Bombyx mori: one gene and its partner. The protein of the gene in region 1 interacts with the protein of each later gene in a pairwise test. Links are inferred from orthologs where the notes say so. Each region holds a gene or a part of one and is shown on either strand. Other genes may lie near its edges.

Region 1 (4,019 bases):
CAACTTGGTTTGACGTACATATGCTGGAGGACCTCCAGAAATGAGAAAATATTGAATAGAAACAACAAAGAGGACGGACAAAAAAAGATAATTAGTGCGAAAGTGATATCGGTGCCTACAGACATTAAAACGTGAATATCGCGACTCATCGAGTGGGCTCTTACACTCTTCAGCCTAGAAATAAATAGAAACAGAACCAGCGCTATGGCCTAGCATTGTGCGTTCTCATCAGTAAATAAGCATTGCCGATCGCATTACGCTTATAATATATTATCCCTGTTTTCCAATTACAGCACAAGAGCGTATTCTGCAGCATAATGCTCAACGTTGAATATTCCAACTACAGCAACGCTTCGCACAATCGAGCACTCTCAAAAGTACTGCTCTCGCGTGACACTCGCAATCACTCGCAATCGATATAGACTCAGTGACAGAAAATTGACAAGTGTTTTTTCTTTAGGTTGGCATTGTTCGAAATTTTATATAAATTATCGTTGAGCATTATGCCGCATAATGCGCTCTTGTGCTGTAATTGGAAAACAGGGTATAATATGTGATTGCCATAGTCCGACTAAGGCCTAAGCCTCTAATCGCATACGTGACCTTCGAGAAAAGATCAAATAGATGGTGCTTTTCTTAACTGAAATAAAACAACCAATTACGATACTACTAGACAGGATTGTAATGATTATTATTTAAAAAAATATTCAGTTAAGAAAGGTATTTATCGACTATATATCTCCTTCCTGATTTTCACTTTTAGAAAGATTCATTTCAAATACATACAGAAATAATAGATAAAAATTATTCTTATTTATATTATGTACGCTTTTTGCATTACAAAGATTTAAAATGAACATCTACATAATTTGTAAGCTTATAGACACCATTGATACAACATTAGCCTAGTTATACAAAAACGTAGCCGTCTAGCCCAGTTTTACATATTTCGAGATCAAGTCCATGTCTTTTTAAGTAGAAAGTGAAATGATATTGTCATATCACTTTTACCTGAAAATCATATTTTTATAAAATCAATTTTAACATTCACAAAGTAATAGGAATATACGAAGACTAATAGTTTAAGCAGCTATGATAGAAAGAAGAAAAAGAAGGCTAGAAGAACATAGCTAGTGAACAATTCCAAATTCATTTAATATTTCATCTGACGATGCTAATCTATGGCTGCATCATGAGAATGGCGAGGTCGAATTTACTTAGATTGGTGATCTGTGGCATAGATAATACACTTAATTTTTGAGATCTGTGGTCGAAACAGGAAACAGAAACAGCAACGCTAAGAATTTTGTTTGGCGCCTTTACCGGGCCGGCCTGAGTTATCAGATAATTACGTTGAAGTTCCATAAAAATAAATTCTGTTACATACAAAATGGGAGATAAAGGAGACGGAGGTAAATGATCAAGTATTGGAAGTGGTTATGTTTCTTTGTGTTTTTTAATCTGCCGACTCTGGAATGACAGCTAACAGTTTTTGGTTATCACACTTCGCCTATCAGTAATGTTTTAAAAATTGTAGAAACCTTCGATGACGCGGTTGAAGAGAGAGTAATCAACGAAGAATATAAAATATGGAAGAAAAATACACCATTTCTGTACGACTTGGTGATGACCCATGCACTGGAGTGGCCCTCGCTCACTGCCCAGTGGCTCCCCGATGTCACCAGGCCAGACGGAAAGGATTATTCCGTACACAGGTAAATTTAAATGCATATGGGGATATTAATACTTGAAACAAACTCTTTTAACAAACTTAACGTTTTTACAACTAAAATGCAATATTTAAATCTATAAAAATTCTATTTAATAATTTACTTCATACTATATCAATATAAATAAATTTAGACCATTATCATTGTAATAAGTAATTACTATGAATAGGCCGAAATGTTACATTTACATATTTTTGTGCAGACTTATCTTAGGAACACACACATCTGATGAACAGAATCACTTGCTGATCGCCAGTGTGCAACTACCTAATGAAGATGCACAATTTGATGCCAGCCATTATGATAATGATAAAGGAGGTTTGTGATGAGCATGACCTAAATTTCTAACTTAGACTTTAACTAGGTATTAGCACATAAAAAGCGAATTGAAAAAAATCAAACTGACATAAATTGAAATTGAAGGTAGTTGGAACTTTTGTTACGTTCCACAGAATTAACACAGGAGATTCATTCTCAATTTATATGTCGTGAGTTATTTAAAAACTATAAAGCACTTATGCATATTTTTATATATTTTTTAAGTTTTTAATGAACACTATGTGTGTCTTCTAGGTTGTTGAGGGACCAATACAGCGTGTATTTTCGAAAAAAATTGGCACCCGCCTTTCATATTTCATTAATGTAGTACCATTTATTTATCTGAATACACAGAGTTCAACAAAGACTTTGACTTGTGAACTGGATGTGAGGCATATTGACAGATAATTATTACCATCTTGCAATTTTTCTGTCATGAAATAGCCATTTACTTAAAGCTCACTTCATGTCCCAAGATCAGTGGTGGTAATCACATTGTGATGTCAGTAAGTTCTAATAACACACCACAGCTTGGGCCGTAAACTACTCCAAGTTTGTGCATTAATAAGGGCATATAAAACATTAAACAAAAGTCATCCTGTTTTACTACTTATCTAGAGGGCTATATGCTTGTTCACCCTGTTCAATAATTCAAGTTATAATAAACAATGATGAATTCAATAGCTTTTACTCCTGTGAAAAAAGAGAATTAAAAAAAATATAACAATTATTTATGAAAAGTGCAGCTAAAGTATATATATATGTTTTAAATTTGTGAATTGGAGATACCTTATGGCAAATGCTAATTTAAAGGCAAATATAATCCATAAACATTATTTATTTCATTTTCTTCTCATGCTTATAGAATTAGGATATAGTTCACCATATAGGACCATATGTGAATTCTGACTATGGTTAATTGCGACATTTACTAATTGTAAAATAAAATAAAACCGTTGAATATGGTAGGATGTGCCAGACCAGACACACATTACACTTTTAACAACATAGAAAAATAAATACTATTTGGCCATATCCATAATTTTATTCATTGTATTCTTTATTACTTCAGAATTTGGAGGCTTTGGTTCTGTATCAGGCAAGATTGATATAGAAATTAAGATCAACCATGAAGGTGAAGTGAACAGGGCCCGCTACATGCCCCAGAATCCTTGCGTCATCGCAACGAAGACGCCGTCGTCTGATGTACTTGTCTTTGATTATACAAAGCACCCCTCCAAACCTGAGCCTTCTGGAGAGTGCCATCCTGATCTAAGGTAAACACTGAATCCGCGATAATAAACAAACAACACAAAACTATTCAGCTCATTTATACTGTAGCTGTCAGTTTTGTACTCATCACCACTTGAAATGCTTACCAGAGTTTTTCTGTCTTTAAATGCTTCTCATGATTAACATCACAAAGTGGACCATTAATTCATTTGCTATTTAGTGCAATAAAAAACAAAATTGTTGAAGCCTTGACATTACAATTTAAACATCAATATCAAGCATATTAGATCGGTTCACAAGCTCTTTTTTATATATTTGTCTTTTTCTTAGGTACCTTGAAAAAAGTAATCTATTAATGTCTATTCAATATCATTTTATATTACAGATTGCGTGGTCATCAAAAAGAAGGTTATGGCTTGTCATGGAATCCAAACCTTAATGGATATCTTTTATCAGCCAGGTTTGTAGCCTAATATTTTATATAAAACTAGCGACCTGCCCTCACTTCGCTTCGGAAACTGTAATTTATTATTGATTTCTTTACTATTTAATGGATGTTATTATACATATAAACCTTCTTCTTCAATCACTCTATTTATTAAAAAAAAACCGCATCAAAATTCGTTGCGTAGTTTTAAATATTTAAGCATATATAGGGACAGAGATAGCGACTTTGGTTTATACTATGTAGTGATTATACATTTTGAATTCCAGTCTAAGTCTGAACATGTAATAGTT
Region 2 (7,716 bases), on another chromosome or scaffold:
TTATTTGTAAAATAAAGGAATGCCTTCTTAGATGCCATAACAGTAATATCATTGTTGAACTAGCATGGGTTCCTGCTCATGTCGGCATTAAAGGAAATGAGTATGCAGATGATTTGGCAAAAAAGGCTACATTGCACGGTGATAACATTTTTTTTTATAATACAATGACTGATATATTAAGTATTGCTAAGAAAACTTTATTCCGTGACTGGAGCATAGAATGGGAATCTTTTAAGTATAAGTATTCTATAATCCAACCAACAATACCCCATTCCCCATGGTTTTTTAAGTACAGAAATCTTAACAAAAGTACCACTAGCATTCTTATCAGAATGCGACTGGGTCACGTTTGCTCTCCTGTCCAGCTGTTCAAATTCAAAGTAAGAAATACAGCAATATGCGACTGTGGATCCGAGGAAGGTACTGTGGATCATATATTCTTCAACTGCATTCTTAACAATAATTGTGATTCCCTATATACTTTATTAAAAAACATAATCCCCTTCCCCATCAACATGAACTTCCTATTAACTTTCCCCAGTAAAAAGGTAGTCTACTCGCTTGCATCTTTCATAGACACTAATAATATAAAATTGTAGTTCCTACTAACTGTTAAATACAAAAATTGTAAAACTAAATAGGTAACTCTATTTTCAGTTCATGCCTGTAAATGTTATGTAAATGTCCTAGCATAATTATGTTGATACCTCCACTACCCGACGTTGGCAAAATTGTACTTTAATCTAAGTAACAAAAGCCAGAAAGAAAAGAAAAAAAAAAAAAAAAAAGCTTTGCTGAATTCTAGAAATCTTATATTTAATTTATTTTAGGTCATGCATATCATTTTACAATTTTTAGTCTTTATAATATAGAAATCACATCACAGTATTTACTATTTATTTTGAGATCACTATATAAGTACTGTTTTATTTGGAGCTGGGTATAATATATTCTGTTTTGTTAAGGGACGTATTATGTTAAATACAAGATGGTTTGTCTTACCAAAATCACTTCTAGAAAGAATGCACTGCATGGGGTGTTCGGTAGTGTGTTGATTCGTGGTAGCGCCGGACTCGTAGCAAGTAGCGCACAAGTCGTAATCGATGCAAATCAAACATTTGTATCGTCGTCCTCTAAAGTTATTTTTCAAACAAGAATCACAGCTGACTCCTGAAATTTGTCAATAAATACAATGACGACATAACTGTTCTTTGTTCTTCAGTAAAATATATTTTTTCCGCTTAGTAACTATGTGTTCAACTATTTTATCATGTCTGTTCTTAAATTTCGCAATAAAATTCAGTCACAAAAGCATCTACCAAATTTTGATTATCATTACCCACCTTCATGGCGATTCATTTTCGCCAGAGAACGTCGTTGAAAAAACACTTGTTGGCACCAAAAAGGCCTCTATTTTGGGAGCTATTAAATTTACTAATGTAAAATAGGCAGCACAACAAATTATTATTAACAAAATACAAGGTTTATAACAAAAATTTCCAAGCAAACCTAACCCAACCAGGTCATAATGACGTCACATGAATGAATGACAAATACATTTTACACAGATGAAACAAATTCATTTTGCAAAGACCACAATGTACATAGTTTTCTTTTCACAAAATGAATTTTACCAAGACCAATACTATTTAGGGATCTTAAGAAACAACAAAGTAGCAAATGCTTATTATATTTTTAAGTGACCATTGAAGCTCCAACACTCATCTGGTACAAGACCGAGCTATCACAATCCGATCACCCCAATCTCGATGCGGACGCTTTCGATCACTATGTATGCGGTGAAACAACACATCTTAAGATCTTAAGATCTAACACAGGTCACTCACATGCGCACGAATACGCAAACCCGCAAGTGTAGGACGACATTTGCGAATGATTATGCAAAGTTTTCGCTGCATTCGTGGTTTTCCAAGCTGTGTCGCTTTTTTACCAGACATCAAAGCGCGCGAACCTCGAGCCTTCGCGTAGTCTCCCACACATTCGCTTGTCCAGTTGCGCCGACGATTGCGAAGGTAACGAACGTATCGCCATTTTCATAGTTCGTGACGTATACTGTGTAGCGTATCTTCATCAAAAGAAATCCCATAAAAACAGCATGGCTGTTAATGATGTCTGGGAAAGAATTCAAAAATATTTTTCTTTTCAATGTTCTATTGACGAATTAAAAATGAAGAGAAATTCATGAGACAATCGTAAACAAGTGTAGGAGGAAGCGCAAACGGGTTCGCAAATTGAGTATGCGAACCCATTTGCACAGCCGCTAGGTTTGCGAATGAATGTTTGACGGCCGGTTACCTATTTCAAACCTCTATACTTTTCTTTTGTTGCCATAATATTAAAAATGTTTGCTTTCAACAAATGTTTTTATTAGTTTTATTAAAGTTTATACTCCAAACTATTGCTATTAACTCAAAGAGCAAAGAAGACAAAATTGCCACCACCGTCAAGTGTGTCAATGTCGTGTTGAAGTTCTTTTTTCCTTCTTAATTAATTTGTAGGATTAAGAATTATTTTGGCGGGAACACGAGGAGACAAGTTTATGTATTGTTTTATTTATTTATTTAATATATTTTGTACGCACAGCTGTTAGAAAAAACACCACAATAAGGATACAGAGTACAAGGGCACTACTTATTTCATGTTGAAATCTCTTCCAGTAGGCCCGCAAAAGGAAAGAAGAATTACTTTATTATATTTTACTTTGTTAATGTAATGTTTCTTCTCCAAAAAGTCCACTGGAAATTCTAATGAGATTATATTTCAATCCATATCATCTCGGTTTCATCCCAATTTATTAATGTATCTTATTAAACAACTTCATTTCTTTCGTTCCATAACATTTTTCATAAAACATAATATTTATTTAAAAGATTAAGCTGTATGATGCTTGATACGTAAGCGTTTTCAGTTGGAAAAACGAAACACTAGGTACTTTAAGCTATGGTGTTTTTAAACTGGCTATAGCTTTGAGGACTTTTTGGCGGGAACGCGAGGAGTGAAGATGTGTGATTTGTTTTATTTTGTCTATTTAGTGTTTCTTCAGCTTTAAATGTGTAATAACGATGGTTTATTGACTGTTCTGTGTATCTGTGAAAGTGCGCAAATGTGGGAAAATGAAACAAATCCGCTGGACGTAAGTTCTCGGGATCCTCTAAAAAGTCCACTGAAAAAATCTCAGTAAAGGACCACCATTTTACTGAGATTATATTTCATTACATATCATCTCATTTCATTTAATTTCATCACAGTTGATTAATGTCTCAAATTAATCATCTTCATTTCATTTCATTTATCTCCATATTATCATTTTTCATAAAAATAAGAATATAAATTAAAATAGGACACGACTTAAAGGTCTTAGTTACCAGGTCATAAAATCCCTTAAAAAAAAAGCTATAGCTTTGAAGTTTCCAAGTTTGTTGTGTGTATTATCTATGATCACATTATTCACTCTGCTAGTTCAAATTTCATTCAGTCAGGCAGATAGATTTTGGAGAATATTTAGGAAAACCATTCTAAAGTAAACATATCCAAGGAAACGGAATAGAAGCTAAAAAAATTTGCTTCCTACTATTCATGAAGATTTTCTGCAGTGAGAAGTGTAAAGCAAAATTTGCTTTTTATCGGTGTTGAAATGTAAATTACACACCTCCATTTTTGCAATATTAAAAAAATATTGACAATAAAATTTACGCGGGAATTGCTCCGGCAAAATCCGTTGTTAATTTTACAAAATGACTGATGCTTTGTGCCACTTAGTTGTTGATGGGAACGACGTTTTGGAATTCAAACTAGGTAAGCACGCTGTCTGGATAACAGTTAATTTTTGAAAAGAAAATGAAATCTATAATTGTATTTGAACACATTGTAGACATTACAATAGGTTTTATTGATTCCCAAAAAAAGTCCCAACGATCCCGGTTTCCATTGCTATTTAAATTTATATGCAGATGTAGATAAAGGTTGTGATCTTTATTTTTTTCAGTGAGGTCGGTAGATGATCTCGAAAATGAAGAGACAAGCTTTGGTCCCGACATGTGTCACCAGGTATTTGGAGAGAATGAGAATATATTTGGATATACAGATCTACACATTAAATTATATTACAGTGCAGGAAGTCTTCAAACATATCTAGGAATTGATTACACTGATAAGGTATTATTATTTATTTCTATATTATTTTTAAATTTTATTTGAAACTAGCGACCCACCCTCGCTTCGCTTCGGAATCATTAAATTTTATTATTGATAGCAGAGTCCCGCGATGTTACATGCGATTATTGTTGTACCGCGGGTGAGGCCGCGGGGCGAATCTAGTCTAAAAAAGTAGCCTACGTTACTCCTTAAATCATCAGCTACCTATTAGTGGAGTCTCATCAAAATCGGTCCAGCCGTTCCAGAGATTAGCCGGAACAAACAAACAGAAAGACCGACAAAAATTGTAAAAAATGTTATTTTGGTGTATGTACCGTATATACATGGTAGATGCACAATACAATGGTTTATTAGATATGCATGTAATAAAAAGCAGTTATTTCGATACTACAAACAGACACTAATTTTATTTATATGTATAGATATAAACCAAATATCTATTCATAGCCATTTGATTTACGACCAACTTTAAAAAAAAAATTGTATTCTATTTATTGAAGAGCTTTAAAAAAATCTAAAGATTTAGTACTTTTTCGTGTACAAATAACACAATTTTTTTCTGTACTATAATTATAATTAATAGATCGAACCAAGTAAGTCAGAAGGAATGAAAGCAGATGATGTTGAGGGTGCTCTGACTAAAGTTATAGCACCAGGGTATATCACTAATTTGGATCACTTTGTGTCACAATTAAAGAAAGATGAGTCATTCACACCACATGGAAAAATGCTGCATGCATTCAATGTAACCCCTTGTAAGTTTTTTTTTTCATTTCCTGGGTTTTTATTATTAAAACAGAAAATAAATATTCATAAAATTAAGTTTCCCAGAAATATTTTTATTCTGGTCTCACATATTAAACTAACATTCCATAAATACTATGGATAAGAATGATGATATCATGCACAACTATTTCTGGATTTCGGTATGGTACCTGTACATGTAAAAGTGAACTCTGAATAATGAGATTAAATTAAAAACCTTAAACAACCATCATTTGTGTAGTAGTTGCTTTTAAATGTATAGTAATGTAAAATATGTCCTTGATTTGTGGAATTCTCTAGACAAGTCAGATGGGTAGATGATAAGCTACCATTAGTATATCAACAGAACTTAAGCCACAGATACATATACTATATGTTACAGTGTTTTAGTTGCATTTTTTTCTGTAACTCGGGCTCCTGCAGTTCCTTGTGAACTGTATTATAGGACCCCAGAAGCCTCTTTGCACATTAATATATTATAATAATTTACTATTGGATACAGTTTGATACATATATTTTGTATATAAGTCAAGGGTCTCAATTGTCATAACAAGCTGTGCATAAAATGTAACCTCTGTAATTAAAAATATTAAATGAAAATAATACCCAAGTTCATTTGTTAAACGACATAAAATTTATCAATTTGATCTAATGGTCATTGTGTAAACTATTAAAATATTCATATTTTCTGATTTAAAATTTAATTTTTCAAATTGAATCTGAATTTACAGTTGATGGAGAGAGCAGATCATTTGAAGTATATTATTGTGAGACTTCAACTCAAGGTTTTCTAGAATACCATCAACGTTTACAAACATTTCTCCTGTGGTATGTAGATGCAGCATCATTCATAGATGTTGATGATGATCAGTGGACATTCTTCACAGTGTAAGTTGTTATTGCATGTGTATTTATAGTATTAGATGCTTTAGTCTGTATTATTAAAACTAGAAGATATGTCTGGTGCTAGAAATGTAAGCTGCCGAAAATTCAATAGGTTGTTACTTTTATTACCATTAGTATAAATAAAATTATAAATATAAATAACAGCAAGCACCAGTCACCATTCAGTTTGAACAAGTTGAAAGAGTTCAACTAACACCTTAAACAATAGACATAACCTACTGAGTGTCTCGCTGGATCTTCTCAGTCGGTCGCGATTCTGTTTTGACGCTAGATTCTGCAAACTACTGATTTTGCTAGAGCTAGTATTAGCAAATCCTTCCAGTTTGAGCTCTGTGAATTCATCCAACAGTCCATGTGTAGTTGAAATAGTGTGTCAGATTATGAATGATTAGGTTGGGGAAAGAATATTAAGAAATCTATAATTACTAAAGAAAATTTATTTAATTCTCTTAGAAGCAATTAAAAATACTAGACCTATATTTTTAGCACCAACTTACATGGTTTATTTAATCCATCCTGAAGAATGAGGCTCACGACAAGGATAACCTTATTTTCTCACTTATAAAAATATGTTTCATGGTATTTGTTGCTGTAATAAACAAGTGATAGAGAGTTCTGTTCTGGGCTTTTTTTATTTTTGGGCCTGCGTCGAGTCTCCTTGGATATCCAAAGTGAGCAGGCCTCTTGTTAAGTAGTAGTACCAAACCCATCCACTAAAGAACTCTCCTGTACATTCGCCTGAGATTGTGAGCCCTGCGGACGGAATCCGAGAGAGATAGAAGAGGCAATTGCGGTCAACATTGTAAATAGGCACGCAGCCACCCCGAGGACTCCTGACCGGACGCGGACGATGATGATGATCGCAAAAGCGCATTGCCGTCACCCACGGAGTGCACTGGTGCGGTCACCAACTTAGTGGGTTGTGTACATCGATTAGTTCGGTTGTCGAACTCTTCCTCGTAATTGAGGAGTTCGACGAGAACGGTGACTGGTGCTTGAAAAGCCTAAAAGCACTAAGTGTCTATACAAGGGATCCGAAAAGACATGTTTCGAACGATGGCGGCTTCAGTTGCCCCGCGCCTGCACAGTATTATAGTTATTAAAATGAGATCATTCAGAACAGGTTTTTATGTTCCAGTTTTGAGAAATATCAAACGAGTGAAGGCAGTGTTCGATACGCTACAGCTGCCTATGCAACTGTATACAGATATTATGCCTATCCAAACCATCAACGTCCACGAATCTCACAAGTTCTTACATTACCGCCCTTCAGAAAACTCGGAATTTGTGCACAAATGTTACAGGTACTGACTATAGATTGATTACTACTGTTGGTAATACCATTATGAAAATTACTCACCTATTGCGATAGAAAGTGATATTTATAATTCATGAACAACGATAATCGTTTTTGTAAAACATAGAAAAGCTCAGCCTTCTTCCAATTTTGCTTCATAAAAGATATGACACTATGTTGTGATTATAGTCACCTACAAATTGAATGTTGAATAATGCATATGACATTATTATGTGATCAGTTAATCACCCTGGTCCATACATATTATGTAGATTACGTTTACCTTATTCAGTTAGTTGAGTTAAATTTTTGATTGCTTAAATGGAAAATTTAACCAATAAAATGTTACTAGTATTTTCAATCTGTATTTTTAGGCCGTATACTCTCACTTTATAATAATACCTGAAGTGATAGATCTCACAGTTGAAGACCCCTCACCTGACTTTCAAAGGGTTAGAGATTATGTTGATGCTAAGAACTGTGAAAGATTACCGGCATTTCAGCCAGCTGCCTTATACTTAGGGTATGTGTTGCTTTTTCTATTTGTAATGTTGTATTAATTGATTCTAAAA

The links.
Region 2: the proteins of chromatin assembly factor 1 p55 subunit (region 1) and histone acetyltransferase type B catalytic subunit interact in a two-hybrid assay, tested with the Caenorhabditis elegans proteins (4 studies listed by BioGRID). The link is inferred for Bombyx mori from reciprocal best matches to the Caenorhabditis elegans genes lin-53 and hat-1.

The regions. Positions count from the first base shown.
Region 1 is NC_085109.1:4,078,361-4,082,379, forward strand, and holds the start of chromatin assembly factor 1 p55 subunit, read left to right. Parts: upstream 1-1,219; 5' UTR 1,220-1,390; coding exon 1,391-1,412; intron 1,413-1,537; coding exon 1,538-1,715; intron 1,716-1,932; coding exon 1,933-2,048; intron 2,049-3,120; coding exon 3,121-3,325; intron 3,326-3,666; coding exon 3,667-3,741; intron 3,742-4,019. UniProt on the Caenorhabditis elegans protein: Core histone-binding subunit that may target chromatin assembly factors, chromatin remodeling factors and histone deacetylases to their histone substrates in a manner that is regulated by nucleosomal DNA.
Region 2 is NC_085113.1:6,756,067-6,763,782, forward strand, and holds the start of histone acetyltransferase type B catalytic subunit, read left to right. Parts: upstream 1-3,437; 5' UTR 3,438-3,755; coding exon 3,756-3,816; intron 3,817-4,006; coding exon 4,007-4,176; intron 4,177-4,759; coding exon 4,760-4,931; intron 4,932-5,672; coding exon 5,673-5,829; intron 5,830-6,985; coding exon 6,986-7,151; intron 7,152-7,518; coding exon 7,519-7,667; intron 7,668-7,716. Other genes in the region: E3 ubiquitin-protein ligase KCMF1, read right to left, coding at 1,003-1,170, 1,344-1,359.